6 separate regions of the Mus musculus genome follow, and regions 1, 2, 3, 4 and 5 are each reported to be linked to region 6. Evidence: microRNA targets listed by miRTarBase, many of them from high-throughput screens and not tested one by one. Region 6 holds a microRNA gene; each other region holds the end of a gene's coding sequence.

Evidence for each region. The annotated mature microRNA mmu-miR-301b-3p reads CAGUGCAAUGGUAUUGUCAAAGC and lies in region 6 at 3,414-3,436, opposite strand. An mRNA with a match to its seed (bases 2 to 7 or 8) in the 3' UTR can be bound and repressed. Matches are read on the target gene's strand: a 7mer-m8 pairs with bases 2 to 8, a 7mer-A1 pairs with bases 2 to 7 and ends in A, and an 8mer does both.
Region 1: the mRNA of Cyp4x1 is a reported target of mmu-miR-301b-3p. The part of its 3' UTR that is shown has no 7-base or 8-base seed match.
Region 2: miRTarBase lists Jtb as a target of mmu-miR-301b-3p. Seed matches in the 3' UTR shown: 7mer-m8 at 4,033-4,039.
Region 3: miRTarBase lists 5730455P16Rik as a target of mmu-miR-301b-3p. Seed matches in the 3' UTR shown: 7mer-m8 at 813-819.
Region 4: miRTarBase lists Ppp2ca as a target of mmu-miR-301b-3p. The part of its 3' UTR that is shown has no 7-base or 8-base seed match.
Region 5: the mRNA of Kif5a is a reported target of mmu-miR-301b-3p. The part of its 3' UTR that is shown has no 7-base or 8-base seed match.

The regions. Positions count from the first base shown.
Region 1 is chr4:115,104,385-115,109,457 of GRCm38, forward strand. Cyp4x1 (cytochrome P450, family 4, subfamily x, polypeptide 1) reads right to left here. Exons shown (of 12, transcript NM_001003947.2): 12 at 1,939-4,472. The coding sequence ends at 4,298. Among named protein-coding and RNA genes, the nearest start is that of Pdzk1ip1, 18 kb to the left of the region's middle.
Region 2 is chr3:90,234,576-90,239,648 of GRCm38, reverse strand. It overlaps Jtb (jumping translocation breakpoint), which reads right to left. Exons shown (of 5, transcript NM_206924.2): 5 at 3,809-4,266. The coding sequence ends at 4,110. It overlaps Creb3l4 (cAMP responsive element binding protein 3-like 4), which reads left to right. Exons shown (of 10, transcript NM_001307934.1): 5 at 670-765; 6 at 898-1,004; 7 at 1,098-1,166; 8 at 1,253-1,337; 9 at 1,503-1,599; 10 at 1,728-2,151. The coding sequence ends at 1,918. Among named protein-coding and RNA genes, the nearest start is that of Jtb, 5.5 kb to the right of the region's middle.
Region 3 is chr11:80,359,468-80,364,540 of GRCm38, reverse strand. 5730455P16Rik (RIKEN cDNA 5730455P16 gene) reads left to right here. Exons shown (of 10, transcript NM_027472.3): 10 at 523-4,049. The coding sequence ends at 729. Among named protein-coding and RNA genes, the nearest start is that of 5730455P16Rik, 16 kb to the left of the region's middle.
Region 4 is chr11:52,121,626-52,126,698 of GRCm38, reverse strand. Ppp2ca (protein phosphatase 2 (formerly 2A), catalytic subunit, alpha isoform) reads right to left here. Exons shown (of 7, transcript NM_019411.4): 7 at 3,950-4,797. The coding sequence ends at 4,725. Among named protein-coding and RNA genes, the nearest start is that of Mir3061, 2.6 kb to the left of the region's middle.
Region 5 is chr10:127,225,448-127,230,520 of GRCm38, forward strand. It overlaps Kif5a (kinesin family member 5A), which reads right to left. Exons shown (of 29, transcript NM_001039000.4): 27 at 4,702-4,729; 28 at 4,298-4,409; 29 at 248-2,974. The coding sequence ends at 4,331. Among named protein-coding and RNA genes, the nearest start is that of Pip4k2c, 16 kb to the left of the region's middle.
Region 6 is chr16:17,121,007-17,126,079 of GRCm38, forward strand. Mir301b (microRNA 301b) reads right to left here and starts at 3,490; the gene lies at 3,394-3,490. 2610318N02Rik (RIKEN cDNA 2610318N02 gene) reads right to left here and starts at 4,196. Exons shown (of 7, transcript NM_001358255.1): 1 at 3,984-4,196; 2 at 290-545; 3 at 1-73. The coding sequence starts at 511. Mir130b (microRNA 130b) reads right to left here and starts at 3,136; the gene lies at 3,055-3,136.

The DNA.
Region 1 (5,073 bases), not on the chromosome of region 6:
CCTCTTTATTCACACATCCAGCCAATCCACAAGTTCTCTTTACTCTTTTAAATGCCATCAAAGTCACTTCCATGTTCATTTCTCCTACAGTCCACTGCCACCACTCTTGGCAAGCAGCATCTACTTTTTACTTTTTTTTCCTTTTAATTCAGGGGAGAAAATGAACACAATTCTCAACTACAAGTCAAATCTCAGGAGTCAGCAATGGATGAGCCGTGTCCTAGGAAAACCACCTTCATGACCATGGTATCTTTTCCAACAGCTAAGCATGCAGCATCTATTCTTATCTGTGACCTAGCATTCTGATTGTGTACATACATTTCTTCTGGTTTCTCCTTCTGCCCCACTCTATCCTATCAATAATTTGTTCATTATCCATGCAACAGATGTAACCCTGCCTCTCCCTCTCTTTTCTCTCCCTACACACACACACACACACACACACACACACACACACACACACACACACACACACACACAGTCTCTTTCTTTTGACACACATCCACACCCCCTTTTCTCTGTAGTCCAGGCTGGTCTTGAACTTATGATTCTTTTGCTTTAGCCTTTCAAGTGATGGGGTTATAAGTATGCATCACTACATCCAGAAAACCTTTTAAAAGTGCAGTTCACTCTAGTTTTATCTCTAGTTGAAAACTCCTCAAAGGGCTTCCTCTATATTTAAAAACCAATCTAATTTCTGATTAGGTTCCAATGAGTGATGAATTTAGTTCCCATTTAGGCTTCATAAGAGTAGTTAGCAACAGAAATGTAAGTAGAATATTTTTGTAGTAGTGTAAGTTTAGACATTCTTTTCGTTTTGTTTTGTTTTTCGAGACAGGGTTTCTCTGTATAGCCCTGGCTGTCCTGGAACTCACTTTGTAGACCAGGCTGGCCTCGAACTCAGAAATCCGCCTACCTCTGCTTCCTGAGATTAAAGGTGTGCGCCACCATGCTCGGCAAATTTAGACATTCTTTTTTTTTTTTTTTTTTTTTTTAAAGATTTTATTTATTTATTATATGTAAGTACACTGTAGCTGTCTTCAGACACACCAGAAGAGGGCATCAGATCTCATTACGGGTGGTTGTGAGCCACCATGTGGTTGCTGGGATTTGAACTTCGGACCTTCGGAAGAGCAGTCGGGTGCTCTTACCCAATGAGCCATCTCACCAGCCCCAAATTTAGACATTCTTATTCAAGATTCAAAACCAAGAAACCATAAAGAAAAGTGTGTATACAAATCTGACATCATTAAAATCAAAGCATTTCATATGTAAAAGAACCACACCTACAAGTTAATAAGAGTAAAAGAATCTGAAATATTACAAAGAAAAGTTATAAGCAAGACTTATTATCCATAATATATGAAGAATATATGGATAACTAAGAAAAAACATCATACAAAAATAAAGATAGTGTTGTCTCCATAAAGATAGGGACTAGGTAGGTAGCTCAATAGGTAAAATCTTGCTTTGCAAACCTGAGGACTTGGGTTTAATCCCCAGATCCCATGTGGAAATAGTGAGGCATGGGGGTGGGGAGTGGTACATGCTTGTAATCCCAGAGCTGGGGCGGTAAAGACAGGCAGATCATGGGGCTCAGTAGCCATCTAGCCAAACCTACTGGGTGAGCTTTGGGCTAGTAAGAGATCCTGTCTGAAAAAGCATGGCAGATGAAACCTGAAAAATGATACTCGAGGTTTGCCTCTGGCCTCTATATGCTTCTACATACACGTGAATACACACCTGGACCTGAGTACACATGCATGCATGTGCTCACACATACACACACACACACACAGACACACACACACACACACACACACACACACACACACAGTCAATAAATACATTTAAAAATTATAACTAATTTAATTTATCCAGTAATAGAAATATTTTGAAACAAATCATAGAACACTCACATATCTCAACCTTATAATAAGGTGGATTAGGGCAATTTTTTAATTATGTGAGAAAAACAAGAAGAATACAAATATGATCACATGTCTAAGAGTGCACACACACATTATTTATGCAGGAAAGAGTCAGGAAGAATGCATACAATTCTGTTTTTAGAGAAAGCAGTAGACTCTGTCAGGGCAGTAGCCCTGGTGAGGTGGGATTTTATGAACACCTCCTATTGCTGGAAATGTTTTTCATCCAATACAAATCCTGTTATTTGTATAATTCCAAAAACAATAAAAAACAAACAGAAAATCATCACTAGGTGTAGGCTTAGATTTTTCATTAAGCCTACTTTAATAAAGATTCTTTTTTTTTGTTTTTTTTTTAAGCCAACAGAAAGTCTTTATTAACCAGTCATTGACAACCATAGGTGTTCAAGATCCCAGTGTAGCCCCGAGTGTAGCCTTTCTTTCTTTTTTTTTTTTTAAAGATTTATTTATTTATTATATGCAAGTACACTGTAGCTGTCGTCAGACACACCAGAAGAGGGCATCAGATCTCATTTCGGGTGGTTGTGAGCCACCATGTGGTTGCTGGGATTTGAACTCTGGACCTTCGGAAGAGCAGTCGGGTGCTCTTACCCACTGAGCCATCTCACCAGCCCCTAATAAAGATTCTTAATGCTTCAACCTCCTTTATACCCCACAGACCAAAGGTGGGGAAGGAAGATGGTTAATAGGACAAGGAGGACATGGACCTAGTTGGATGGACCTGGAGGGCATCATCCTGAGTGAGGTAACCCCACCACAAAGGAACTCACAAAATATGTACTCACTGATAAGTGGATATTAGCCCAGAAACTTAGGATACTCAAGATATAAGATACAATTTGCTAAAGGCATGAAACTCAAGAAGAACGAAGACCAAAGTGTGGACACTTTTCCCCTTCTTAGAATTGGGAACAAAACACCCATGGAAAGGAGTTACAGAGACAATGTTTGGAGCTGTGACGAAAGGATGGACCATCTAGAGACTGCCATATCTGGGGATCCATCCCATAATCAGCTTCCAAACGCTGACACCATTGCACACAGTAGCAAGATTTTGCTGAAAGGACCCTGATATAGCTGTCTCTTGTGAGACTATGCTGGGGCCTAGCAAACACAGAAGTGGATGCTCACAGTCAGCTATTGGATGGATCACAGGGCCCCCGATGGAGAAGCTAGAGAAAATACCCAAGGAGCTAAAGGGATCTGCAACCCTATAGGTAGAACAACATCATGAACTAACCAGTACCCCTGAGCTCTTGACTCTAGCTGCATATGTATCAGAAGATGGCTTAGTTGGCCATCACTGGAAAGAGAGGCCCATTGGACTTGCAAATTTTATATGCCCCAGTACAGGGGAACGCCAGGGCCAAAAAGTGGGAGTGGGTGGTAGGGTATGGGGGACTTTTGGTATAGCATTGGAAATGTAAATGAGGAAAATACCTAACAAAAAAAATCATAAAAAAAGAAGTAGTTCTTTGAGGTGATTCCAATCTTAATCGTTAGCATACCAGTCCACTAGCAAAACACCAAACATGAACAAGCAGCAGCTTGATCCAGAAGAAACTGAATGGAGTCCCCTGAAGCAGCAAGAAGCAGCTGGAACACCTCTTGAAGCTCTTGGCTGAGTTTCTCTCTACGGAGTCCTGACAAATAAAGATCAGTGAGGAAAGCAAGGTGAACCAATGCCAGAGTTGCTCACTGTCTGTTGGGTTATACGTACACTCTTTTCAAACATCATGTATCCTCTTAAGCATCACTTTCAGCGAAACACCCCATGCCCTTTCACCAGGCAGCTTCCAGAAGAACACCATGTGTCTGCTTCAGCAAAACATCCTCCCATGTGTCTTCTTCAGCAAAACAACCTCTTATGTGTCTTCTTCAGCAAAACAACCTCTCATGTGTCTTCTTCAGCAAAACATCCTCTCATGTGTCTTCTTCAGCAAAACAACCTCTCATGTGTCTTCTTCAGCAAAACATCCTCTCATGTGTCTGCTTCAGCAAAACAACCTCTCATGTGTCTTCTTCAGCAAAACATCCTCTCATAAGACAGCTTCCAGAAGAACATCACATGGCACAACTGAGTCTCCAGTGAACTCAGAAATTCCCACTTCAGATAAGATTGGTAATAACCATTAGAAAATAATTTGACAATCTCTCCAAGTTATACTTATCAGGGTCACATGTGTTACCTGAAAATAACTTTGGGTAATGTGCAGCTGTAGAAATGCTCCAACCCACAGTCCTCCAAGGCTTCTATCAATCTTAGATTCTTTTCCACTTGCCTGGACCATGGGCTGTAAATTTAACTTAACAACAAACATAAATTTCGCCATTTCTCCTAGTATCTAACACTCAAGGAGTTTCTTCAGGTGCAAATAGATTCCATGCTTGGGTCTGAGGACAGTGTGGCTGGAGAAGGCAGGAGGCCTGGTGAGGTCTGGAGCTACTTGAAAGTGGAGCAGAATCAAGGCAATGGCCACCTTTAGCTCCAGCATGGCAAACTGCTGCCCGATGCAGTTCCTGTAGACACCAAGGGAGAGAGAGGGGTAAGTTTCTAGAATAAGTCTGGAGTCCACAGCTGCTTAGCAGTTTCCTCTGATTGAAACATTCTTTTCAGGAGGAAGGGAAAAGGACTTATGTCCATGTCTGGATAAACCATGACTTGGGAGTTTCATGAGGGCTCTTCCCAGAGTTATAGAAGCAGTAAAGAACTGCTGGGAAGGAGACTGACCAGCTGTGCTACCCAGAGTCCTCTCAGACATATCCAGATGCCTACAAGTTGTGTAGAGAGCTCCAGAGTGGTAGCTTTTGTGAACAGTCACTTGTGCTGGTTTGGGCTTTTGGGTGATGTAGCTTGTGGTGGTTTGAATGGAAGTGCCCCCCAATAGGATCTTATGTTTGAATATTTGGTCCACAGTTGATGGAACAGTATGGGAAGGACTAGGAAGTGTGTCTTGTTGAAGGATGTGTTGCTCTGGGATGTTCTAAAAGCCTAGCCATTCCCAGTTAGCTCTCTCTCTCTCTCTCTCTCTCTCTCTCTCTCTCTCTCTCTCTCTCTCTCTCTGTCTCTGCCTGGTGCTTGTAAATCAGACTTTAGCATCAGACTTTAGCTCTCAGCTAC
Region 2 (5,073 bases), not on the chromosome of region 6:
GGCTGACTCCTTTTCTTGGGGCTGGAGAGATGGTGGCTCAGTGGTTGCGAGCATGAGGATCCTGGCTCCATTTCCAGCTCCCACATGGCAGCTCACACCTGCCTGTAACTCCAGTTCCAGGGGATCTGACACCATCACACAGACATATATGCAGGCAAAATGCCAATGCACATAAAATAAAAATAAATGGAAGGATGGAAGGAAAGTCCTTGTCTGAGGGTGAGTGGCTCGACCTAACAGGTGGAGCTTAGAGCCCAGGAATGATAAACTGCACGCACCTGCCCTTGTCAGGCTACCACATGGTTTACTGAACAGAAGTTAATGGCTAAATTGTTTACCTGATATAAGGAAACCCAACCAAGCTCACCATAGTGAATTCAAAGTTCTCTTCTGATTGTCCCAAGATACCAGAAGAGGCCTTCTCTAGCTTGCCTGTAATGTAATGCCAAGATTCTGTGTGGACAAAAACCTTCACTCTACCTCCTCAGCTTCAGGGAGGCCCTTTGGCTTGCCACGGAACCTTCCTGAATGACCTTTCTGCTCTGACCTTACCTTATCACTCGGTGCAGACAGAAAGCCCTCTTCTGAAAGCAGGTTGGGGCAGAAGGGCAGTTTGAGCTTTGGAAGCAGGTGACCTTGACCCCACTCTTCTTCTGCCACTCCTCCCAGCCGTCCTGCCAACATCATCTGTTCCTGACAGATGAAGAAAAGCAACTGCTGGCACAAGAAGGGATTACTCTGCCCTCTCACCTGCCCCTCACCAAGGTAACAATGGTCCCCAAAAGGGTGTCCCCATCACAGAGGCTCCACTCAACCTGTAGAGAGCCTGGATCCCAGGGAACATCTGGGGAGTTGTGGGAGGCTAAGGGTCTAGCACTGAACACCCTGAACCTCCAGGCAGAGGAGAGAATACTCAAGAAGATCAGGAGGAAAATCCGCAACAAGCAGTCGGCTCAGGACAGCCGGCGGCGGAAGAAAGAATACTTAGATGGGCTGGAGAGCAGGTATGCTTGGGTGGTGTCTGGGCCCCCTTTCTCTCACCAAAGCATGTTAAGGGGCCATCTGCCAAGCCTGCTCTGCTTCTCCACACTCCCTAGAGTGGCGGCCTGTTCGGAACAGAATCAGAAACTACAGAGAAAGGTCCAGGAGCTGGAGAGGCAGAACATGTGAGTGATAGTGTCTGGATGAAGGAGAGGGCAGGAGCCAGTCACAGGGAAGCCGTTCTCAGGCTGACTCTCCCTCCTTCTCCTAGCTTCTTGATGGAACAGGTCCGCCAGTTACAGAAGCTCACTGCTCAGACCTCCAGCAGAGCTGCCCAGACCAGCACCTGTGTTCTGGTACCATCAGCATGTTCCTTACTTCCCATCTGCCACCCTCCACACTTCCACCTAACACCTGCCCAGCCCTGTTCTCCAAACTGTGACACCTCTATGACCCTCTATTCCCTATGCCTTCATCCTCTGTTGTCCCCAAAGCCCAAGTACCTTCCTGTTCCTTTTCAGATTCTTCTTTTTTCACTGGCTCTCATCATCCTGCCCAGTTTCAGCCCCTTTCAGGGTCAATCAGAAGCTAGGCCCGAGGATTATCAGCTTCATGGAGGTAAGAGGCAAGGGTACAGCAGCCCCAAGGATGAGCCACGAAACAATTCTCCAAAACAGTCAACAAGTAGGAGTTCTGGGCCAGTCTCCTACCCAAGCAAATGGTCTACCATCACCCTCTCTCCTCAGTGATTTCCAGAAATATCTTGACTCACGAGAACGTAACAGAAAACCTGGAGAGTCCAGTGCTAAAGTCCAAACTGGAGGAGCTACCTGAAGCCCCAACTACAAATGGTTCAACAAAGACACATCTGAAGATGCGAGTGAAGGCGAGACCCCCTGGACAGATCAGGGGAATGGTGCATACAGATGAGATGTAAGCCAATCACACAAGACACCACACAGGCTTCCCTATCACCTTTTATCATGTGGCAGGGCACCTCAAATGCTTGTCATACATTTGTGATTTCATTTCTTCTTTGTGGTAAGGTCAAAGGGAAACAAGTTTTAACTTGGAAATAAACTTCCTAGCTCAAATTCTATCCCAAGTTTTTCACTATGTAAACTAAGCTGGTCTCAAACTCTTGACTTGCCTACAAGTATATAGTACCACATCCAGCTTGGAAATTGTGTTTATTATTGTGTATAAGTAGGGTGTGTAATATATATATAGTATAATATACATGTGAAGGTCCAAGGGCAACTTTTGGGTTCTTTCTTCTCACCACGTATTCTAAGAATCAAACTTAGGTCATCAGGCCTATGCAACAGAATTTTTTTTTAACATTTTTATTTATGTGTATGTGTTTCTATGTGAATCCATAACATATGGGCAATGGATTCCCCTGGAGCTGGTAGCCGTAGCCGTGAGCCAAGTACAGTCCTCTGAGAAAGTAGCACGTTGTCTTAACTGCAGCCATCTCTCTAGCCACTGCACCAAAGCATCTTTAGTACCTGAGCCCTCTGCCAGCCCAGAAACTTTATATAAAAGATGGCAGACTGGCTCAGTAGCTAAGAACATTTGTTGTTACACAGAAGACCTGGATCTGGTTCATAGCACTTTCTGGGTGACTCTTAGCCATCTATAACTTCAGTTCCCAAAGACCCAATGTCCTGTTCTTACGGCACCAGCCAGACATGCAAATGGTCCATGTGCATGCAGGTAAACCATTTGCACACACAAAAGATAAATAAATCTAAAACAATTTTAAAGCAATAAAAGGGAGAGGTAATAGTTAACTCTCGAAATCGTTTCTCTTCTCTCACTGTACCCAGGTCTTCTTTCCCCATATTAAAGTACTATTTTTTAAAAAGGTTTATTCATTTGGTGGCTGAAGAAGTGGTTAAGAACATTTATTCCTCTTTCAGAGGACTCATATTCAAGCTCCTACACCATGCAGCAGCTCAGGATTTGGTATCCTCTTCTGGACTCCATGTGTACCAGACACACACACACCGTACAGACAAATGGCTTAGATACATGGAAAGACTATATCCAAGAAGGGAAGTACTCGTTTTTCCTTGTATGTATGTCTGTTTCTGCATGAGTTTATCTGTGTCACTTACTGCAAGCCCATAGAAGCCACAGGGTATCACAGCTCCTGAAGCTAGGATTATAAGTGACTGTGAGCCACAGGGCTTGGGAGCTGGGAACCAAACCCTTATCCTGGGTAAGAGCAGCAAGTGCTTTTTTTTCTTTTTTTTTAAAGATTTGTTTTATGCATATGAGTACACTATAACTGTCTTCAGACACACCAGAAGAGAGCATCAGACCCTATTACAGATGGTTGTGAGCCACCATGTGGTTGCTGAGAACTGAACTCAGGACCTCTGGAAGAGCAGTCAGCGTAGTCATCTCTCCAGCCCCCAGCAAGTGATCTTTAGCACTGAGCCAACTCACCAACCCTTTTTAATTTAATTAATATTTTTTCTTTTTTGTTGTTTTTTTTTTTTCGAGACAGGGTTTCTCTGTATAGCCCTGGCTGTCCTGGAACTCACTTTGTAGATCAGGGTAGCCTCCAACTCAGAAATCCGCCTGCCTCTGCCTCCCGAGTGCTGGGATTAAAGATGTGTGCTACCACCGCCCGGCTTTTAATTAATTTTTTGAGACAGGGTCTTACTAAGTATTCCTTGCTGGCCTGGAGCTCCATATGTCGTCCAAGCTGGTCTTGAACTCACAGAGATCTGCCTCTCTCTGCTGCCCAAGTGCTAGGATTTAAGGCATCTCCCACCTCCCCCAGTCTTCCCCAAGCCAAATGATTACACTAAAGGAAACTCTTTACTCCTTTATTATTTCCGTTTTCTCTTTAAAGACAGGCTTACTATGTAGTTCAGCCTAGTCGGCCTACAAAGTTACCAAGGATCCTCCTGCCTCATTCTCTCAAGTGCTGGGATTCCAAGTCTGTGTCATGTCCAGCTCTATTTTACTTTTTATTGTGCTCATTAATGGTCTAGAAGAGGAAGTCATTGAAAATGCTACTACCACAGGTTTACGAGTGCAAATTAGCCGCTGAACTTTCTCCATCTGAGATACAGTCCGTAAAGAGCCACCATAATACAGTAGAAATTCAGCTATATGGACTCAATTTGCTTCCTGACTTTTTCAAGAGCCTTTCTGTCCAGTTGTCGCTGACGAACGATGACAAGGCAGGCGAAGACTAAAGCTACAGCCACCACAACGCCTTCAAATTTCCAGAATAAGTGTTGTTCCAGTAGAGCCGAACGGCAGCTGAGGGCAGAAAAGGACAGTCACTCCCAGGGAAAGTCAGTTTCTCTTAATTACCATTCTTCATGGCAGCCCACCCAAAACACTATCTGAAAATAAGAGAAACTAGTTAGTCTGTAGTTAATCTGTAGCCTCCGATGAGATAAACAGAGCAGCATTAACCAGTTTGATTGCTTTTTTTTTTTTCTGATAAAGTTTCACCGGGTGCTGGTGGTGGTGGTGGTCCATGCCTTTAATCCCAGCACTGGGGAGGCAAAGGTAGAGAGATCTGAGTTCAAAGCCAGCCTGGACTACACAGCAAGTTCTAGGAGAGCCAGATCCATACAAAGAAACCCTATCTCAAAAACAAAACAAACAAAAAAGTCTCAGGTAGTTCAAGCTGCCCTTGAACTCCCAACTCCCCTGCCTCCACTTCCCAAATGCTAGGATTATAAGGTGTACTACCACGCCCAGCTCTTCTTCCTTTTTTAAAAAGAAGTTATATTTGTTTTTTATATTTTGTGTGTGCATACTCATGCCAAGGAAGAGGTTGCCATTGTCCCTGTCTGAAAACACACACACACAAACACACACACACACACACACAAACAACCAATTAGAAGACAACTTGCTGAAATGAGTTCTATACTTCTAGCATCCATATGTGTGCTTAATGCCCAAGGAGGCCAAAAGAGGGTGCTGGCAGATACCTGGGAACTGGAGTCAGACCAACTTTGTAGGTGCTGAGAACTGAAACAGGGTTCTCTGCAATAGTGCTAAGTGCCTTCAATCACTGAAGCATCTAATCAGGCTCTCTTAGAAATATGTCTG
Region 3 (5,073 bases), not on the chromosome of region 6:
TACCTTAAGAGCTTTTTTTGTATTATTTATTTATTTATTTAATGTATATGAGTACACTGTAGCTGTCTTCAGACATACCAGAAGAGGGCATCAGATCCCATTACAGATGGTTATGAGCCCCCATGTGGTTGCTGGGAATTGGACTGGACTCAGGACCTCTGGAAGAGCAGTCAGTGTTCTTAACTGCTGAGCCATCTCTCCAGTACCAGGAGCTATTTTTTTTTTTAAAAGTCTTTTTAAAGTGAGATTCTTTTACACTAAAGGCAAGCATTTTAGCAATAGGAATAATGGGTATTTTTTTTAAAGTTCAACATTAGCAGGGTGGGTAGTACATAACTTTAATCCCAGCACTCAGGAGACAGAGTTCAAGACCAGCCAGAGCTACATAGTGAGACCCTGTGTCAAGAGACAAAACAAAAGCCGACATTATCAGTGTCCGATGAGTGTTCAGCTAGAGACGGGGTATTTTTCAAGCATCATCATCATGTCACTGAACATACTTACAGGGCAATCTTTTTCTAGGCTATACAAGACACAAACAATTTGAAGAGATTTATCCGACAGGCAGAGATGAATCATTACGCTCTGTTTAAATGTTACATGTTCCTTAAGAACTGTGGCAGTGGAGATATCCTTTTGAAGATTGTTAAAGTGGAACATGAAGAAATGCCCGAGGCCAAAAGTGTGGTGGCTGTCCTTGAAGAATTCATGAGAGAAGCGCTTGTCTGAAGTTCCAGTCCCGTGTTGAGGATCTGTTTCATGGAGTGTATTGAGGCTGCATGTGGGGGCTGTAATTACCATTGTTTATAGGATTGCACTGCCCTAAGATGACTGGAAACACCCCAGCTTCTTCCTTTTGTGCTTTTTTTGTTTAATTTAATTAAACACAACAATCAGAGGAATGTCTTCACCAGGTCCTAGGCAGACGCTGTGTTACAGCTGGGGAATTTTGCTGTCTCATAAATCCTAAGCACGTGCTGCCTAAAGAGCTCTGGAGATGAGTTTTGGCTTCTTGGGAGTTTACCGTAGTGTTTAGCAGGATTTCCTCCTCCAAAAGAAACATAGTATGCCTTTCTCAGTACAATGTAGAAGTTTGTAAAGTACATGATCCTAGCAAGATGTGATGACACATGCCTATAATCCCAGCTACTCAGGAGGTTGAGGCAGGAGGTTGTGAGGTTCCAGGCCAGCCTGAGCTACTGAGTAAGTTTATGTCCAGCTTGGACTACAGGGCAGTCATCACCTTCCTGGTCTTACTGCACCATCAGCTCGCTTCATTGACAGCCTGTTCATCCTCTGAGTGCCTGATACAAACCAATGGGCAGGAATGACGAAGCCACCTTTTGAAGCGAATATACACACGAATTATGAGTGTATAAGCACTTAAAAATGAGCTTTATGTATAGAAACTTGTGGGCTGGCAAGGTGGCTCAGAAGGTAAAGAAACCTGCCACCAAGTCTGACAACCTATGTTCAATCCCCAAACTCACTTGGTAGGAGAGAACCAACTCCACAAGTTGCCTCTGACCCATACAGAGCTACATACTCAATAAATAAATACATGAAGATATGGTGGGCTGGAGAGGCAGCTCAGCAGTTAAGAGCATTGTTGCTCTTGGAGAGGAGCCGGCACCTACCTGGTGGCTCAATTTCAGGGGATTTGACACCCTGTTCTGACCTCCTCAAGCGTCAGGCACACATGTAGTGTATAGATATACATGCAGACAAAACATACACATAAAATAATCTAAAACCAGTAAGAAAGAAAAGAAAGAGGAAGAGAGAGAAGAAAGGGTATACTAGCTTCAAGATGAAACATTCTCTCTGACTAAAAAGCTCTTGTGGCAATTTACACAATAGGTATTTATTTGCCAGGAGCCTGTATTTTTTTCTTCCTTATTTCTAGATAAAAATGCTGGAATTCTTAAGCAGTATTAAGAAAAAGGGAAATAAAACAGTTAATATAGGAAATATCCTTTACAAGCAAATATAAGAATGCACATGTGGTGATTCATGTCTTTGAATGTAACCTTCCACAAGACGTAGGCAGTTGGAACTCCCTGAGTTCAGGGCCAGTCTGATTTACTGAGTTATATAGTAAGCTTCAGGCCAGCCAGAATTACAGAGTGAGTCCCTGTCTCAATAAATAAGAAAATAAACAATATTTTAAAAATTAAAAAATGTAAACAAATTCCTCTCAACACAATTGCTCATTGATTTTAGATCTTTCTGTCTGTCATAAGCCTCAGATCGTTTTGCCCTGAGTCAATTGCAAGAGCCCTTGAGTCGTCATTTCTCATCCCATGGGTGCCAGCTGCAGCCACACGCGTAGCTGTTCTGCATAGCTCTTTAATAAATCCATTTGGTAATGAATTTGGTTTAGAAAATCAGAAGGCTTATGTTCTCACTGCCTTTGGGATGCTCAGAGGAGCATGAGTCTGTGAAACGGAGGCATTCTTAACTGCTTGTAAACCCTGCTAGGAGCTGAGTTCTAACTTTCAAAGAGACTAATGATATGGCTTTCTGCCTTTGCTTCTCCATAAGTCAGTCTAGGGATAGGAGTCACCACGCCCTTCCTTTCCCTTTAATGAGAAATACAATTCAGTATCTTCATAAATGCTTTCATATGGCTTTAAAGTTTAATAGCTTGGATTATAGGCAGTATAGAAAAGAATGTAAGTAGCATTTTTATAGCTATCTGACGGCTGGATAGTCAGCAGCTCTGTGGTACTTTTCTTGAATCTTTTCCCAATGCACTTGGTGCCCACTTGGAAATCATTAAAAATGAGCGACATTAGGACATCGAGATTTTGAGTCTCTAAAATAGTAATCTTTATTTTTAAATTCACAATCAGGAGCAAATAGAATTCTAAAAGTAAGTGTAGGGGTTAGGGAAACAGCTCAGTGTAAAGTACTCGCTATGCAAACGTAAGGACCTCAGTTTGATCCTCGGGACTTAAATACAGAAGCAGGAGTGCTAGCATGTGCTTGTAGTCCCAGCACTGGGGAGGAGACTCAGTTCTTACTGCCAGCCCAGCTGACTTGGTAAGCTTCAGGCCAGCAGAGACCTTATCTGAAAACAAATGGAAAAAAAAAAAAGATAGCTCAATGGATAAAGGCCCTGGCTGGCAAGTCTAGAGCCCATGTGAAGGTGGAGGGAGAGCTCACTCCTGCAAGCTGCTCTCTCTCTCACTCTGTCTATGCATCCTTCAGAGCTAACTATTAACAAACAAGAAAACAGAAGGGTAGATGGCTCCTGAGGATTGTCCTCTGACCTCCAAATGTTTGTGCACACAAATAATAATATATATACCAATAATAAATAAAAGCAAATGCTCTACCAAAAAATAATAAAAATAAACGCAAATGCAGCCAGGCAATGGTGGTGCACACCTTTAACCCCAGCCCTCAGGAGGCAGAGGCAGATGGATCTCTGAGTTCAAAGTCAGCCTGGTCTACAGAATGAGTTACAGAATAGCCAGTTACACAGAGAAACCCTGTCTTGGTAAAAAGAAAACCAAAACAATAATAAAGGAGATGCATTAAGTCACGTGTGGATATAGGAAAAACATAACTCTATATTCTTTGCTTATTTATAGGTACTTCTTTGTAATGTAAGCCCACTACACTACACAATTGTATATAGTAGTCTTATATTTAAAAAGAATCTGCATAGGCAGAGACAGGCGGATTTCTGAGTTCGAGGTCAGCCTGGTCTACAGAGTGAGTTCCAGGACAGCCAGGGCTATACAGAGAAACCCTGTCTCAAAAAAACCAAAACAAAAAAACAAAGAATCTGCAAAATTCTGTACCACTGAAAAAAGATGTCATGGAATTAATTATCTTGTTGATATGAAAAACAGCTCATAACCATAAGCCTATTGTCATATTCAAATTTTAATGTGAATGTATTAAATTTTAAAGGCTTGGGGGATGGAGGAACACCCTCTCAGAACAAAGGGGAGGGGGAATAGGATGAAGAATTCTAAGAGGGGGTGCTGGGAGGGGGGCAACATTTGAAATGTAAATAAATAATTAATTTTAAAATATTAAAGGCTTAAATAGTGTTTGTTCAGATGCGAAGTAAACGAGTGCTTATGTGCAGTACGCAGGAAATATGTTGGCCTTGTGTAAAAATGCCTCTGTGTAACAGTGATAAAACTCCAGGTCAAGGCAGGTAGTTTTACCTAACTGAGCTTAATTCTTACCTTTAATTATTTCCAGTAATTTTACATGGAAATTATACTTCACACACACACAAAGATGTGTGAAAAAAACTCAGATTACCTGTTGGAATGCACACAGAAGAGGTAAACAGGTTTCTCACAATGGTTCATTTGTTGTGTAAAAAACAGTTTCACCTGTAGGACGCAGTAGCTCAGGTCCTTTCCTGTCTTGCTCATTGTTCAGAGTGATAGGACTCTAGGTGGTGGTGCAGGCCTTTAAATGGAGGCAGGCGGATCTCTGAGTCACAGGCCAGCCTGGTCTACAGAGTGAGTTCCAGGACAGCCAGGGCTACACAGAGAAACCCTGTCTCAAACAAACAAAGCAAAACAAAAGTGAGAGACAGGACTTGATGCTGGAAATTCTGGTGACAGGGAGTAGTGACAGGGCTGACAAGAGAAGTCTGAGCAAACATTTCAAAGTTACCAACTGTTCCTCATAGCCTTGGGCTGATGCAGTGAGACAGGCTCTTCATTGTGCATGTTCATGTGTGTGTTTGCACGGATATGTGGAGACCAGAGGACCTTGTATGTGTGGCCTGGGGCTTGCCAAGTAGACTAGGCTGGCCAAGTCCCAGGGATTTGCCTTCCCTATGCTGGAATGGCAAGTGTATACCACACGTGGGTATGAGGAACTTAACTCAAGGCCCAATGGCTGCACAGCCATGTTATTGAGCTCTCTCCCTAGCCAGAAACTGGCCCTTTGTTGACAGGGTCTCTATTATGGAGCTCTGGCAGTCCCGGAACTCCATCTGTAGGCCAGGCTAGCCTTAAACTCAGAGATCTGCCTGCCTCCGTTCCCAAGTGTTGAGACTAAAATCATGCAGCACCATGGCCAGCCAGGAATGGC
Region 4 (5,073 bases), not on the chromosome of region 6:
GTACAAGATCCCTCAACGTAACCCAACACTTCATGACAACTTCGAGGTACGTCCTAAAAAGGTTGCACCTTGAACAGTCTCCAACATGTGACTGACCTATATACCCCAAAGGCGTGTAAAGCTCAACCAGAAGACAGAAATAAGAAAGAAAGCAAAACGAACCCTTTAAAAGTTCTACTCTGTCAAGTAAGATTGCTGGACGGTGGTGGCCCACACCTTTAATCCCAGCACTTGGACAGAGGCAAGTTTTCTCTTTCTCAAGTTTTGTTTTCTCTCATTATGTAGCTTGGCTGATTTGAACAGAGATCAGCCAAGCTACAAAAGATGATCCTGTCTCAAAACAAAAGCAATCCATACAATCAAGGTACAGAATGGAAATGAGAAAAATGGTGATGCATCACAGTATACCACACACACGTATGAAAATGTCACAATGACACGGTATCTTTACAGTTCTACCATATAGAGACTGGCAAGGGGCATGGTCAAACACATTTACAACCTTGCAGAGGTTATTTTTAACATAGACACAATTGTGGAAAAATTAACCCAAAAGATTTAAGTCTATAAAATGTAAAAGCAGTCAAAGAATTATGAGATTATAGGGAAAAAAAAAAAGGTTTAGGTCAGGAGAATAAAATCCACTTCAAAATTAAGCCTATAAATTATTGGCTGTTACGCTGGGTGTGGTGGTGCACGCCTTCAATCCCAGCACTCGGGAGGCAGAGACAGGCGGATTTCTGAGTTTGAGGCCAGCCTGGTCTACAAAGTGAGCTCCAGGACAGCCAGGGCTATACAGAGAAACCCTGTCTCAAAAAACAAACAAACAAAAAATTGGCTGTTTCCAGGAACACAGTAAAAGCCAGTTACCCCAGAAGATACCACCAGTACCACAAAATCCAGCTGTAGTTACAATGGTTATTTACTTTTAAGACAGGATTATGCTGGGCACGGTAATATATACCTTTAATTCCAGCAACTGGGAGGCAGAAGGAAGTTCAAGGCCAGCCTGGTCTATATTGTTTCAGGACAGCCAGAGCTACATTGTGAGACTCCGTCTCAAAAAGATAAAAGACTGCTTCACCATGTATCCTGGATTGGCCTGGAACTCAGAGATCCATTTACCTGCCTCTGCCTCCCAAGTGCTGATATCATAGATGTGAGTCACCATGCCCCACCCAGCAGTGTTCTTAACCCTAGACATACTATGCTCCTAATAATTCAAAGTAAAATATGTGGGCATCAAGATTGAATACCACAGAATTAACTGCGGCTCTTCCAGAGGTTGGATTTGGTCTTTAAGCACTCACACCAGCAGCTCACAACTCTGAAGCTCCAGAGGACCTAGAGGCCTCTGTTAGCACCACACACATAAACAAAACAGTAAGTCAAGAAAGGGAGACACTGTGCATTTGTAATGAAGAAAGGCAAACCGTCTCCCAATGGTCACTGAACATTTCAAGAGGCTCAGATGTGCCATTACACAGGCAGGTGGCAACCACACCACCACACTTTTGTTTCATTTCAAATAGCTACAAGGACCATTATGATAAATGCTTGAGGCATACATAGCCCGACTTGACACAATGTACAAATCTCAAAACATCACCTGGAAACCTTAGATAGTACATTGTTTTTGTTTTACTAAAACCATTATACATATCTTCTTCAAGTACTCAAACCCAACAGTAAGCTTTATAAATTGTTTCAAAGCAACCTTTTAATAAAAAAATAATAATTTATGTGCACATGAATACTGATGTCCAAGGAGACCAGAGGTGGATGTGGGTCCTCTTGAAGAGCAGTGTGTGTTCTTAACTCTGGCTCCACTCGCCAGCCCCTAAATTATCTTTTTTGAAACATCTGTGTGTGTGCATACATCACCATTTGTGCATGGAGGCCAGAGGACAACTTGCAGGAGTTGGTTTTCTCCTTCCACCACGTAGATCCCATGGACTGAGCTTGAGTCTTCAGGGTGGCTGCTAAGTGACTATGCCTTTACCAGCTGAGTCACCTTACCATATCCAAAGTACACTTCCCTGTTGAATACTCACTCTTAGGCACCGAGATCCACTATCTGCCTCCACAATGCTGGGTGACACATGTGTCATTATATACAACTTTTAGAGATGGAACCCAGGGCACAGTACATGTGCTAGGCAAGTGCTCTACCAATGAACTACATTTGTAGCCATTAACACGTCTTTTAAAAAGACTGATCTTTATTTTTTGTTTGAGTGGTTTGCCTGCAGGCATGTACACCACATGTGTGTCTGATGCCGTGGAGACCAGAAGAGAGTATCAGGGCCTCTGGAGTCGAAGTTATAGGCAGCTGGGGGCTACAAGATTGACTGCTAAGCACCTGTCCAGACTTCTTGACAACACCCATTTTTGATAATTCTTTGCTCTTAATCAAAAGACTTAAAAAATTATGGCAATCTCATTATAGTGCCCATTAAAATTCTCTCATTTGAGTGATTCCCTTCCAACTATCATTTGATTTTTTTGAAGAAATTATTAAACTCACACATTTTCACTAATTTTACATCAGGTTAAAGTATTAACATTTTCAAATTTCAAGAGAAGCCTAGTAATTGCCTCTGAATGCTTTTAAGACCACTCACTCTTTGACACAAGCCCCATTCTGAGAATCTGTATGTACATGACATGTGTCAACTATAGGAAAGACTCCATTAGAGCCCTCTTTATCGTCAGGATCCCCAGTGCAGCTGCTTGGTGTCTACCTCCCTCAAGTGTTGGATCAGAAGTGCTGTACATTAAGTCAGGCATGGTGGCATATATAGGCAGTATCATCCATGAGTTCTAGGACAGCTTGGCCTATATAGCAAGATCCCAGCCACTCAGGGCAACAGAAAGACTCTGTTGCCCTGCCCTTACCACAACCCACCCTAACAAAACAAAACAGTGCTGTATATAGATGTTACTTGTTTGGCCAGGAAGAAAAGACGAAGTAGCACAAATAACAGGCTGGAGAATGTGTTTCTTCGAACTCAGAATAAAAAGAAGACACCTAGAAAAACTAAGGTTTTTTGAGACAGGGTTTCTCTGTGTAGCCCTGGCTGTCCTGGAACTCACTCTGTAGACCAGGCTGGCCTCAAACTCAGAAATGCGCCTGCCTCTGCCTCCCAAGTGCTGGGATTAAAGGTGTGCGCCACCAGTACCTGGCCTAGGGTTTTTTTTGATTTAGAAAATTAACTCACAAACTGGCTTGTTTTTTTTTTTTTTTTTTTTTTTTTTATACAGGGCAATACTGTAACTTCACTGTTGGTTCCAAATTCAACACAGTACAAAGCAAGGAAACATTTATTTACTACACTCACACAGTAATGATCAAGCATCCTCATGTTTGCCCAGATAGCTTAAAATAGCAAATATTCAGTCCCCACAAGAAGAACTGTCTTCGGTTTTAAGCCAAGTCAAAGAATAGAAGGGAAACCCATTACTCGCTGAGCTTGGCACTCAGGCACCATTCTCGGACCTGGCGCAAACATCAGCCCACATCAGCATTGCTTCTACTCGGCTTCACTGCTTTACCAGGTAAGGAACACAAGCTAAGGTTCTAACACCTTATCCAGACAAGTTTAACTAACTCTAAGATCACATGACTTGACAAGAAATATACAAATGTTGGTTAAGAACTTACCGTTCTGTCAATCATTTTAAAGAGTCCATGAAATATACATAGCAATATATTTGTAACCAGAAACTACACTAATTAGACACATCATTTAGTTTGTTAAGTTCTACCTGAAAACATGCCATTTTAAGTAAAATCCTAAAAACATAACTCTCAAGTTCTATGGTTTAACAACCAAGTCCCACTAAAACAGCACAGATTTCCTTTCACAAGCGCAGGCCAGCAACAAGACAAACTGCGGTATGTCAGACAAACAGGTCCCCAAGTTCTTCTGAAGAACACCAAGGAGTTGCCAGAGAGGTTACACAGTGGCCTTGATCTTTATTTTTCTTTACCTGGGATTCTACAAATTCTGAAATTGATCAATAGATTTATCTTGTTAATAAACAGCACCAGTCGTGCCCACTGATACAATTCAAACCTGACTTTCTCAGTTCTCAAGTTTATTATGAAAACACTGCGGTGACTTGTGCAGTAACATCATCTTACAGGAGGGAAACAGTTCTGTTCAAAACAACTCACCAGGTTTTCTGACAGTAACAAAGAACAACGCGGGGCTGAGATTTGAGAAGGGGAGAAACTGAGTGCAGACAAATCATACAATTAAATTAATGGTATCCCTGAAAGAAACACAACAAGAGGGGAGGCCTTGGTACTTATTTAAAAATGTTCATTAAGCTCCAATGATTGTTTGCTATCCTCATCTACAGTCATGCTGAGTAAGCTACAGCTAAGTGAAGTCAACTGGACTCACGGGTGTTAATGTTTAATCCTATATCTGCAGTCTCTCAAGAAAGCAAAAGTAACTACAAATAGCGCTATGCCAGAAACTGGATTCTTGACCAACAATGTCGCGTCAGCATGCAATGAACTGGTTCATTCTAAAGTGGTCACGGCTGTTGATGACAAGAGGCTTTGTATTTTATATGGCACATCTTTTGGTCCGTGTGAAAACAAGTTTTTGAATGTTAACTATTTTCTGACACTTTGGAGTTACTGTTGCTCTTCCCATTTCCATTAGGTCAATATACGGTTCATGGCAATACTGTACAAGTTTACATTTTCATTACAGGAAGTAGTCTGGGGTACGACGAGTGACATGTGGCTCGCCTCTACGAGGTGCTGGGTCAAACTGCAAGCTGAAAAACAAGGAAGACTCAGTGTTACTACTCCAGAAGATACCATGTAGTTAACAAAACTAACATCTTCCAAATTTTCAAATTTTCTTCCCCATCCAACTTCAGTACATTTTAAAAGAATAGAACCCAACTTTAATAGACCTAGGTATATTGGGGCACAGCTCTAACATTACCACTTGGGAAACTGAGGCAAGAAAATCACAGTTCTAGACCAGCTTGGGCTACAAACACATGGTTAGTTTTAGCTGTTAACCAGACACAAGAGAACCATTACCT
Region 5 (5,073 bases), not on the chromosome of region 6:
TGCGCTGGTTCTGTGCTTAGGAGCACCCCTTCTCTTTTCTCTCATAGAGGACCAGGGCTCAGTTTCACTGCCCACATCCCTGCTTACGACCATTGGTACCTCCAGTTCCTCAGGATTTAGTGCCCTATTCCAGCCTCCTAAGGGCACCAGGCACATACATGGTACATGTAAATATGTGCAGGCAAAACTTGTATCAACAAAAGGCAAACAAAAGCCCTTTGAAAAATGAATAAGAAGCAACAGCAAGTCGTCATCGAAGTTATTTTATTTTAAAGATATTTGTGTCCACCAAGTAAATACACACTGGGATTTGTGCGGTTTGGTTTTGTCTTCCACGCCGGCATGCAACATTTCACTTTGGCAGATGTAAGTGGGCGGGCCAGGGGCCCTGGTGGTGGCCTGGCTCTCTGAAAGGGATGTAGTGAAGGTAAGGGGGAGGATGTGGTGAGAACCTTCCGGTGAAGGGCTGTTTCTTTAGCATAGCAAATGGCCGTGTCCCTTACATCTTGCCGAGGAGGGAAGGCTGGCCACTGCCGCCCCCCTCCTCATCTGCTCTGCTGCACGCCTCCACATCTCCTCACTTGTATTTTGAAAAGGATCGTTTGGTGACAAGATCATGCAAACTCCCTCAGAATCCCAAGCATCCTCATCCTGCCAGCATGAGCCACAGGGAACACCCTTTTCCTTCCTTGCCCACTGTGTCTGAGGTGTGCGATTTGTCTGCACCTCCTGACCTTTCTTTTGAGTTGTGGTTTTAGAGAGTGTGTGTGTGTGTGGGGGGGGGGAGCAGACTGGACCCCTCTGGCAAATGAGTGAGTTCTAAGCTCTTAGGGCTATCTCAGGACCCTCCAATGAATGAAGCATTTTCCACTGTGAGGGGGTATGAAAAGAAAGAAATTATAACAAACGTTCCTCGCTCTGAATTACTTTACCATTTTGGTTGTTTCGTGTTGTTTGCGGTTCCAGAGATAGACTGAACCCTCAGACTTGTCACACTAAGTGTCTTCGCATGGTACCACTAAGCCATGGTCAAAGCCCTAGGTTCTGCTTAGTCATCAGATTTATTCTGAAGTGTTTGAAAATTGTCACTTGGGAGTTCTCCCATGCCAGTCTGATACTGTCTTCATCTCAATCACTCCCTACAGAGCAGAAACGGTCCCTTGAGGGAGTCACAGCCACTACAGCTCATAGTTGCCAGCTGTCACCCACAGGGAGTTTTCCTCCCAGGCCTAGCAGGGTCTGGACAGCAGGCTGCCCTCTGTTGGAGAGCCCTGGTCTCCCATCCTGGGATGGACTGGGTATCTGGATACTCAACTGTTTTTCTTGGCTTAGGCTGAGTACTGACCTTCATCCCTGCAGCTGTCTGGAAAAATACCTTAGCAGATGGGAGGACAGGACCATCTGAACTAAAGCAACGTCCGTCCTCTTCAGTGCTGGGCAGGAGGGGACCTGAGCTGAGATGGCAGTGGGGAAAGCATTAATTTCATGCTCTTAGCCCCTGCCAGTTCGGAAAAAAACTGTCCTGTCCCCACTTCCTTCCTTTCCTCCCTTCCTTCCTTTCTTTCCTTCCTTCCTCCCTTTCCTTACTTTTCCTTCCTTCCTTCCTTCCTCTTCCTTCTTCCCTTTCCTTCATTCTGAGATAGGATTTCCTCCCGTCATAGTACAAGCTCTCCTGGATCTAACTGTGTAGTCCAGGATAGCCTCAAATTTAGCAATTTTCCTACCTCGGCTTCCTGAGAGCAACATTCGAAAGTGTGAGCCACTACACCCAGCTTCTGCTTTTTTGCTTTTGCAGTGCTGGGATCAACAGCAGAGCTTTTTCCTGTGTCAGGGAGGCCGCCTGCCACCATGCTCCAACCTGCTCCCCCACCCCTGTCTTTAAAGTGCACTTGGGACCAGATGGAGATTACAGAAGGAACTGTGTTTGGGGGAGGAAGGTATACTGGGAACAGGCCAGATTCCATTCTGAAGGGACGGCATCTAGAGACGGCGATTATGCCAACAAACCGGAAGCCCCAAACCAAAGTCAGGAGTGGGAAGCACACACAGCCCAATATGGGAGAAAGAACGAGCTTGGAGCTTCAACCTGAGGGTTCTGTGACAGAGTAGCACACAGTAGTCCCTCAGCCTGCTCACTCCCCAGAGCCAGGGAGCCAACCATTCTGACTCCACCTGCGTATAACTATTGGCACAGACAGGTGAGCAGCGGTTTCTCAGCAGTCCGCCTTCTCGAATTTTCAGAAGATGTTTTAAACCAACTCTAAGTTCTGGTTGTGATATCTGGAGTGGAAAGTACAAGAGGCTTGGGCCAGAAAGGGAAACAGTCCCTTGAGTAGTCCATGCTCTCCAACCAGGGAAGGGAGCACAAGGCAGACCTCACAGGGCAGAGGAGACCGCCTCCAGTGTGCTGACTCCGGTGAGGGATGCGTATGTGTGAGGGAGAGAGCGGTGTCGCAACCTTCCACTGGGGCCTCCTCTGTGTTCTGTGTAAAGAGGGAAGGGGTCTATTTCTCTCTTTTCGTAGATGCTAAGACATTCCTCTGCTTAAGGCTTTGTATGTACACTGTGTGTGCATGCGTGTGTGCGTGTACACGTGTGTTTGTGAGAGAGAAGAAGGGCAGCCTCCCCGCTCCCATTTTTCCTTTATCTTTTGTGACCTCTACTCAGTGACTGACATCACTCGGTGTAAGAAACGAGTCTATGGAAGAAAGAAGAAATATTCCCTCCTCCCTAACGCCCAACGAGGAAGGGAGACTATGCTTAAAAACTGCTAAATACATCATCAGATACTTAGAGGGGAGGACAGAGAGGAGAGACAGCAGCAGCTTCTGATAGATAGATACAGAGTACAAAGAGATACGGAATAGGAGGAGACATCAAACAGTCCAACATCACGGGCTGGGGAGGGAGTTAGTGTCAGAGACCACAGGTTTTGCAGCATGCTGAGAGAAGAGGCCTCAGTCCCTCTTAGAAACTGGGGAAGAAAGAGAAAGAGGGTGTGAGGAGCCAGCCCGGCCTGGCCTCTGTGTAGGAACAGACAACATAGAACACCACGAAGCCAGCCCCACCCCCCACTGCCAGCCAGTCCAATCCATGTTTCTCCACCCCAAGTCTTGCCAGCATCCTCTCCCCCTTAACACATCTCTTTCTCTCCTGCTTTTCTGCCTGAGCCACTGTCCGGGGAAAGCCTGGGAGGGACGCGGCCTCGTGCATCTCAGCAAGACTGGACATTTTCTCTTGATTCAGCAAAGGAGCTATAAAGTGTACCATAACATAGGTCTCTCTGACCATCTGGGGTCTAAAACAAACATGGAATATGCCCGGTGACACCAGGTCCTGGTGTGATCGGGGACTTGGTGTGATTGGGGAGGTGTTGAAGCTGGAGGGTTAGTGGATGGGGAGGCAGCTGGTTTCCATTTTTACTGACCGTACTGTTGTTTCTAGCTAGAGACACCGAGAGTCTTTGGCAGCATATGTCAATCCAGGAGTAGTGCAGACATCACCTTTACACGAGGTGGCTTAGACATCTCTGTGTATCTAAGGCTATTTTAAGGCTATTTTAGGGTAAAGGCACAAGGTAGTAGACCGATGGACAGCAGCCCTTGCCTTTAACAAAAATTTTAATGTATGACAGTGACCCCTAGTGGTAGAAATGAGTACTGTGATTACCACCAGCACCTAAGGGAAGGCTTGGGGCCATGGGAGGTCAGGGTTGGCTATGAATGAGATTTGGGCTTTTTAGCAAATGTTTCTGTTTGGTTTTGATACAGGGTCTCATGAATCCAGGACTCCTTTGAACTCATGATCTCCCTGCCTCTGCCTCGTGCAGCCATACAGGGCCAAGCAGGAGTTGGAAGATTTTGGCTCAGTCACTAAGTGCTTACTGAACAGACATGAGGACTATGTTTGGATCCCCAGTACCCCAGGGGACAGAAATGGGCAGATATGGGGGGTGGGGTGGGACAGAGGGAGGGTGGGGAGGTGACTGACCAGCCAGTCTACCCCAAAACAGCAAGCTCCAGGTTCTGTGAGAGACCTCAAAAAGTAAGATGGAAAGTGAGAGAGGAAGACACCCACACCAAGGCTGGCCTGTGGATGTGAGCGCGCACACACACACACACACAAATGAAGACACCCACACCTACTAACCTTGGCCTCCTGATGTGGGTACACTCATGCACACACAACACACACATACAGACACATACAAACATATACACATACACATGAACAGGAGAAGCAGCCATGGCCAGACAGGAGGAGGCTGGGGCTAGGGAGGGAAGTGGCCTGCAGCTACCTGAAAGTGCAGATATGTGGCCAGGGTTGGGAGTTAGCTGGCTGCTGTCTCTTGGTGGAGAGGGAAAAGCTTGGCCTGGTCCTCAGCCTCATAGCCACACGGCAGGTCACTCCTGGAGGAAGAAACAGCCTGTCAACAGCTCTGCCCCCACTGCGGCCAGCACTCTGACAGCGTGCCTGAGATACTGAAGGGCGGGTGAGGGCAGGAAGGATGCAGGCTTCCTAAGGAACCTCAGGCCTTGCCCAAGGTCGGAACGTTCCCTGAGGTACGGAGAAAGTACCCATGGGAGTGCCTGGATCTCCTGCCTCATTTCTTCCCTCCTCCCCAGAGCTCCAGGGAAGTCCTCTTAGAGAAGTGTTATTCGATTTTTTTGGGTCCCGCCCAGAGACCCCAAGTCTGAGTACCTGTTGTCGTTGATATCTGTGGCATTTCCTGAAGGGATGAGAACACAGGGTTAGAAAAAAGCTGGCGTGAGGAACAGTCTTCACAACCCCTCCCATCCTGAAGCCCATGCCTCTGAACTGGTAAACTGAGGCACTCTACCCTCACCACTCCAGAAAATAGTGGGTTTGGCTGGAGACCTAAGCAAGCCCTTAGGAGAAAGCTGGTCCACATGAATCGTACCCAACCCCGGTACAACCCCTCCCTCCCCAGCTGTACCAGGAATGGGATGCAGGGCAGAAACCACACTAGGCACAGGCTGTTCCACGAGCTCTCCCTGACAGTATCGTTTTGTTTGACCCTCCAGTGAGAGGAAGGTTCTGTTCGTGTCTGTT
Region 6 (5,073 bases):
GCCGATGCATCTCTATGGCACCCATGTCATTGCACTGGTTTAGATCCCCCTGCACAGCGCAGACAAACTTCGCCTGCAATACGGAGGAGAAAAGGCGGGAAGCCAGAAAAGAGTCGCTTGCCTGCTCCTTCCTCAGGCTTGGTATTCTTGGCTTCGGAAAGACCCCTTTGGCTGCCCCAGCCAATAGATAACCTCCCCATTCATCCCTCAGCCAAAGTCCCACCCTCAAAGATCCTCCCTAGTTTAGGGAGTTAGTGGACTTCTGCTGCCCGCTGCCCGCAGCTCGCACCCAGAGGCTGCAGAGGAGCCCGCGCTGCTCGAACTCAGTCTGCTTGCCCTTCCGCACGACTCTCTCCGCCAGTGCTGGGTTGCGATCCAAGGTGCGGAAGAGTCGTCGCAGTGCACGCTCTGTGTAGGTCGCTGCTTGCCTCTCGAAGTCATCCTCGGAAATGAGCTGGCAGAAGGTCACACTCAGGGGGAATTCGTTGTCGAACTCATCCAGGACTTCCATTGGAAATGGACTGCTGGTGGTGGGTCGATGCTACCTGTGGGTAGAACGACCGTCGGGGCAGGGCTCCTGGGGCAGGGAGACCCTCCCGAGGGCCAGGACTGAGAAAGGTGATGGGAAACCATCGGGATGAGGACTGCAGGGCGTACCCACTCTCTCCCTACAGCCGCAGTGCAGACTCCAGATCCCCAGACTACCCACCCCCCTCCCGGTCTACCCCAGGGAATGAATGCCCACAGAGACAGGGGGCGGGTCCAGCACCAGTACGCGTAACAATGCTCACTTCTCTAGGCATGCGCATTGGTGTGCTCCCCACCCCACCCCGCCCCCACTGCTCCACCCCTCACTGTGACCGCCAAAGGCACCCAGGTACCTTCTGGATTTTGAGCTCCTGGATTTTGACCTCCTTCTGAGCCGTGGTCCTTTCCGTTTCAAAGCACCCAGCCCTCTCCCAGTTTGCAGTTCCCTCCATACTCTGCCCTACCAGACCGCCCTGGTAATTGAATCTACTTTCCAGTTCACTAAGATAATATCCAAAAGGACTTCCTTCTGCCCCCCAAAGGGCTTTAGCTCTGGCTTTTGCACCCTCTGAGTTTCCTACCTACTCGGAAGCATTACACACATCCCTCTCCAGATCATGTCCTGACCACTTCTTTTGCTTGTTTTTTGAGACAAGGTCTCCTATGTAATTCTAGCTATATTGGAATCCACTGTAGACCAGGCTGGAACTCTGCCTCCCAAACAATGGGATTAGAGACTGCATGCCTGCACCCATGACCACTTACTTGCTCTATGTCTTGATGTCCTCCTGTGGCCTCTCCTCACACCTACCTCCGCTACCTTCCTCTCCCTCCCCTCCCCTCTGGAGTGCTAGGGATTAAACCCAGGACCTTGTGCATAATAGGCAAGTGTTCTACACCCTGAGCCAATTCAAATTCACAGAAGTGACTTAGCCAACCTAAATCCTTTGCGGCCCAGACCTCCCCTGATATGTACATGTAAGATATGTAAGATATGCACATGTAAGATATGTAAGATATGCACATGTTAGGATTCCTAGCACCTCAGGATGGATCTGCTGTGGCAACAGCTGCTGACACACGTCTACCCTAGCCACAAAGGAGTGTGGTTGCTTCTTCCCCATCAAAGCCCTCCGTCAGGCCTGAGACTCATTATGTATCAGAGCAGTCCCCATGGGTGCCAGGACTTGTGGAGCTAGAGTACTATTAAGGCTGATTTTCTCAATCTATTCCCAAAAGGGAATCTGGAAGCCTGGGCCTCCTCTCAAGGAGGCAGGCCTGACCACCTCCTACTAGGTTTTTGTTTGTTTGTAAAAGAGGGGTGGGTGCATTGAAACAGGGCTTTACCATGTAAATATAGCTCTTCTGGAACGTGCAGGGTAGACCAGGTTGTCCTTGAACTCACAGAGATCTACCTACCCATGCCTTCCCTGTGCTGCATTCAAAGGCATGGGCCATTGGGTCTTGCCGCTAAAGGTAACTCTGCAAGCACACTAAGGATCGGGCATCCTTAAAAATTCAGCTCCAGGGCTGGAGAGATGGCTCAGTGGTTAAGAGCACTGTTCTTCCAGGGGTCCTGAGTTCAAATCCCAGCAACCACATGGTGGCTCACAACCATCTGTAATGGGATCCGATGGCCTCTTCTGGTGTGTCTGAAGACAGCTACAGTGCACTCATATAAATTAAATAAATAAATAAATAAATAAATAAATAAAAATGAGCTCCAGCCCTGTCTGGAAAGCAGACATACCAGACACCTCCATGCCTCTCCTACTCAGCACATACCCTCTTTGTAAAGGAGCAAGCAGACATGGCTGGCAGGCCTACTCTGCAGGCTTCTTGTTCCAAGTCCATCCATCTGGCCCAGGCAGGACACTTCTTCTGAGCCTCAAGGTGTGAACCCAAGGTGTGGTTATCTCAGGAAAGGCTGAGTCCAGTTCTTCCCGAGGCAGTCAAGGCTAAGCAAGGTATACAAACCTTTTCCATACAAAGAGGTGAACATCTGTTTCTCTCCACAAGGTCCTGGAGTTCCTAGTTTTGTTTTGATTCTTCAGACAGCTTCAAAACTGAGACAATCTTCCTGCATCAGCCTCCAGACATGGGCTCACCAATCTTTCTTTCTTTTTTAATTGATTAATTAATTAATTAGTTAATTTGGTTTTTCTCAAAACACGGTTTCTCTGTGTATCCCTGGCTGTCCTAAAACTCACTATGTAGACCAGGATGCCCTAGATCTGGGTGATCCACCTGCCTTTGCCTTCCAAGTGCTGAGATTTAAGGCATGAGCTACCTACCATTCACTCACCGCCGCGCCCCCTGCAGCAGACTCCCCTATCTTAACCTGGGGGGAGGGGGCTAAGAGCTTGAGACTGGAGCCTTTCCAAATCTGGGGTCTCCCCTTTGTACTGGTTCCAGCCTTGGAATATGGTTCTCAGCATCCACCTTATCCTTTTAGCTAGAGATAGCTATCTCTATCTAAGACTATGATCCAAGCACTGACCCTTTTGTTCCTCAGGCTCCTTAGCTGGCCCGACAGATGCCCTTTCATCATTGCACTGCTTCCCAGAGGCCCACAGTAGTGCAACAGGGAAAGAGTGTCCAACAAGCCTGTCAGTCTCACGGGGTGGGGCGGGGCATGGGGAGTTGGGGTGGCTGGAGTGGGATCTTAGACCTAGAACGCATGCCCACCTGGGCGGAGCCTCGGCCTGAGCAAAGGATGCCCTCTGACCCCAGAGACACGGGCCTGGCTACAATCTCAAGTTTCCATGGAGAAGAGAGTAAAATGAGCAGGGGGAGGGTACGGCCTGCAGGCCTGAGGGGCCAGGCCTGGAAAGGGAAGAAAGAAGGAACAGTAGGTGAGGTGGTCTTCGAGGCTGGTCCCAGATGCTTTGACAATACCATTGCACTGCTTCTCACAGCACAGTAGTGCAACCTAGTCAGAGCACCCGCAGCCAGCAGGAAATCCATCGCCCTCGCTGCACGCAGGGCTGCGCTGGAAATTCAACCACCATGGGTGGGTGGGACATCTATCCAAGCTCGGAGAACAGACGGGATTCCAGCCCGGATGCAGTCCTCTGGACTTATTAACTTCAGGGAACTCAAACTTTCTCTAACAGGCTTCTGATTCTGGTGAGGTACTCCAAGGAGGGAGCTGAAGGGCGAGCACCCGAGGGGGCTCAAACACAAAGGAGAGAGGCCTGCGCTCAGTTGCAGAGGGGAGCACAGTGGGACTACTTGTACCCTGTTTCAGACCAGAACTAGAATAAGAGGGATACTTCACTCCTTGCACGTGAGGCCCTTGGAGTCCGAGATCCGGTCCTTGGTCCATTCCCCCAGTATGAGTTCTGCACTCTATCCTAACAGATTCTCCTGCCTAGAAGAGCAGAACTAGGGCTTCCTGGCATCTGGAGTTTCCCTGGCCTCACCGCACACCCTATCCCAGACCAGTTACTCACGTGGACAGACACCTCTTGTTCTCACCAGGGGGACAAGGTGAAGCTTAGTGGAAGATCCAGGTAGGCGGCGGCCCCGTCATATCTGGACAACCCCGCACCTCAGCACCTCGTGGCGCCCTCTCTCCCTCGGCTCCATCTTTAACCATCTGACAGTCCCGAGGGCCGAGCCCCGGGCCTCAAGGCACAGCGCCAGCCTCATTGGCTTGCGCCTACACCAAGCTTTGCCTCCTGCGCACCTATTGGCTGCTGCTGGAAAGATTTCAAAATAGCCTCCAGGCTCCGATTGGCCAGGCGCCCGAGTTTTGGCTCCACCGTTTTAACAATGAGTTCTACAAACACTTTCTCCTCATTCATAACTCTTGAAAAGGAGCTCTGTCCGCCTTTTCCCAGCTCATTTCTCTGTAGTTATTATAGTGATACTCATGAGGGCGCGTCCATGCTTACTACACAGCTCACCAAATTAGCGAGGGCTCTGAGATCCCGGCAAAGTGTCCTTTGGCCAAGCCAGCGGTTGAATGAACCCCTAGGGGATGCTTCGTATTTCGCGAGAAATTTGTTCATTGCTCCTCCAGGATGGGACATTTACTTAAAAACCGTGGCCTTCCCTCTTTCTGTCCAACTTCAGAGCATCGTCATCAGGAAACCTCTGGCTGGGCTGAGGAGGCCCTGGCACTTTTTGTAAGTGAAGAAATGCTCTGATGTCATTGATGTCATTGAGAATGTGAACCACTTTATGGGTAAGAGTTCATTAAGTGACCTTTCTGAGCTAATATGTCCAAAGATACACAGCACCTAGCACCCAGAACCTGAGGTGTTCTACTCAGTTCTGTCAGCGAAGGGAAAAACAGAGTTTTGCAGCTGGCGTCTGAGCTTTACCCCTAGTTATATCCATATGAGACAGGGAATCTTTACCCCCCAGCTCAAAGGCTGAAAGAAAATATTTTTAAAGCAGACAGAGCTGGTTTTCGATCTTCAAGAACTCATTTTGTCCACTTAATTTTAAATGTAATTTTTTGTGTATGGGTGCTTTGTTTGCCTGTCTGTACCACCATGTACATGCCTAGTGTTCAGGGAGGTCAAAAGGCTTTCT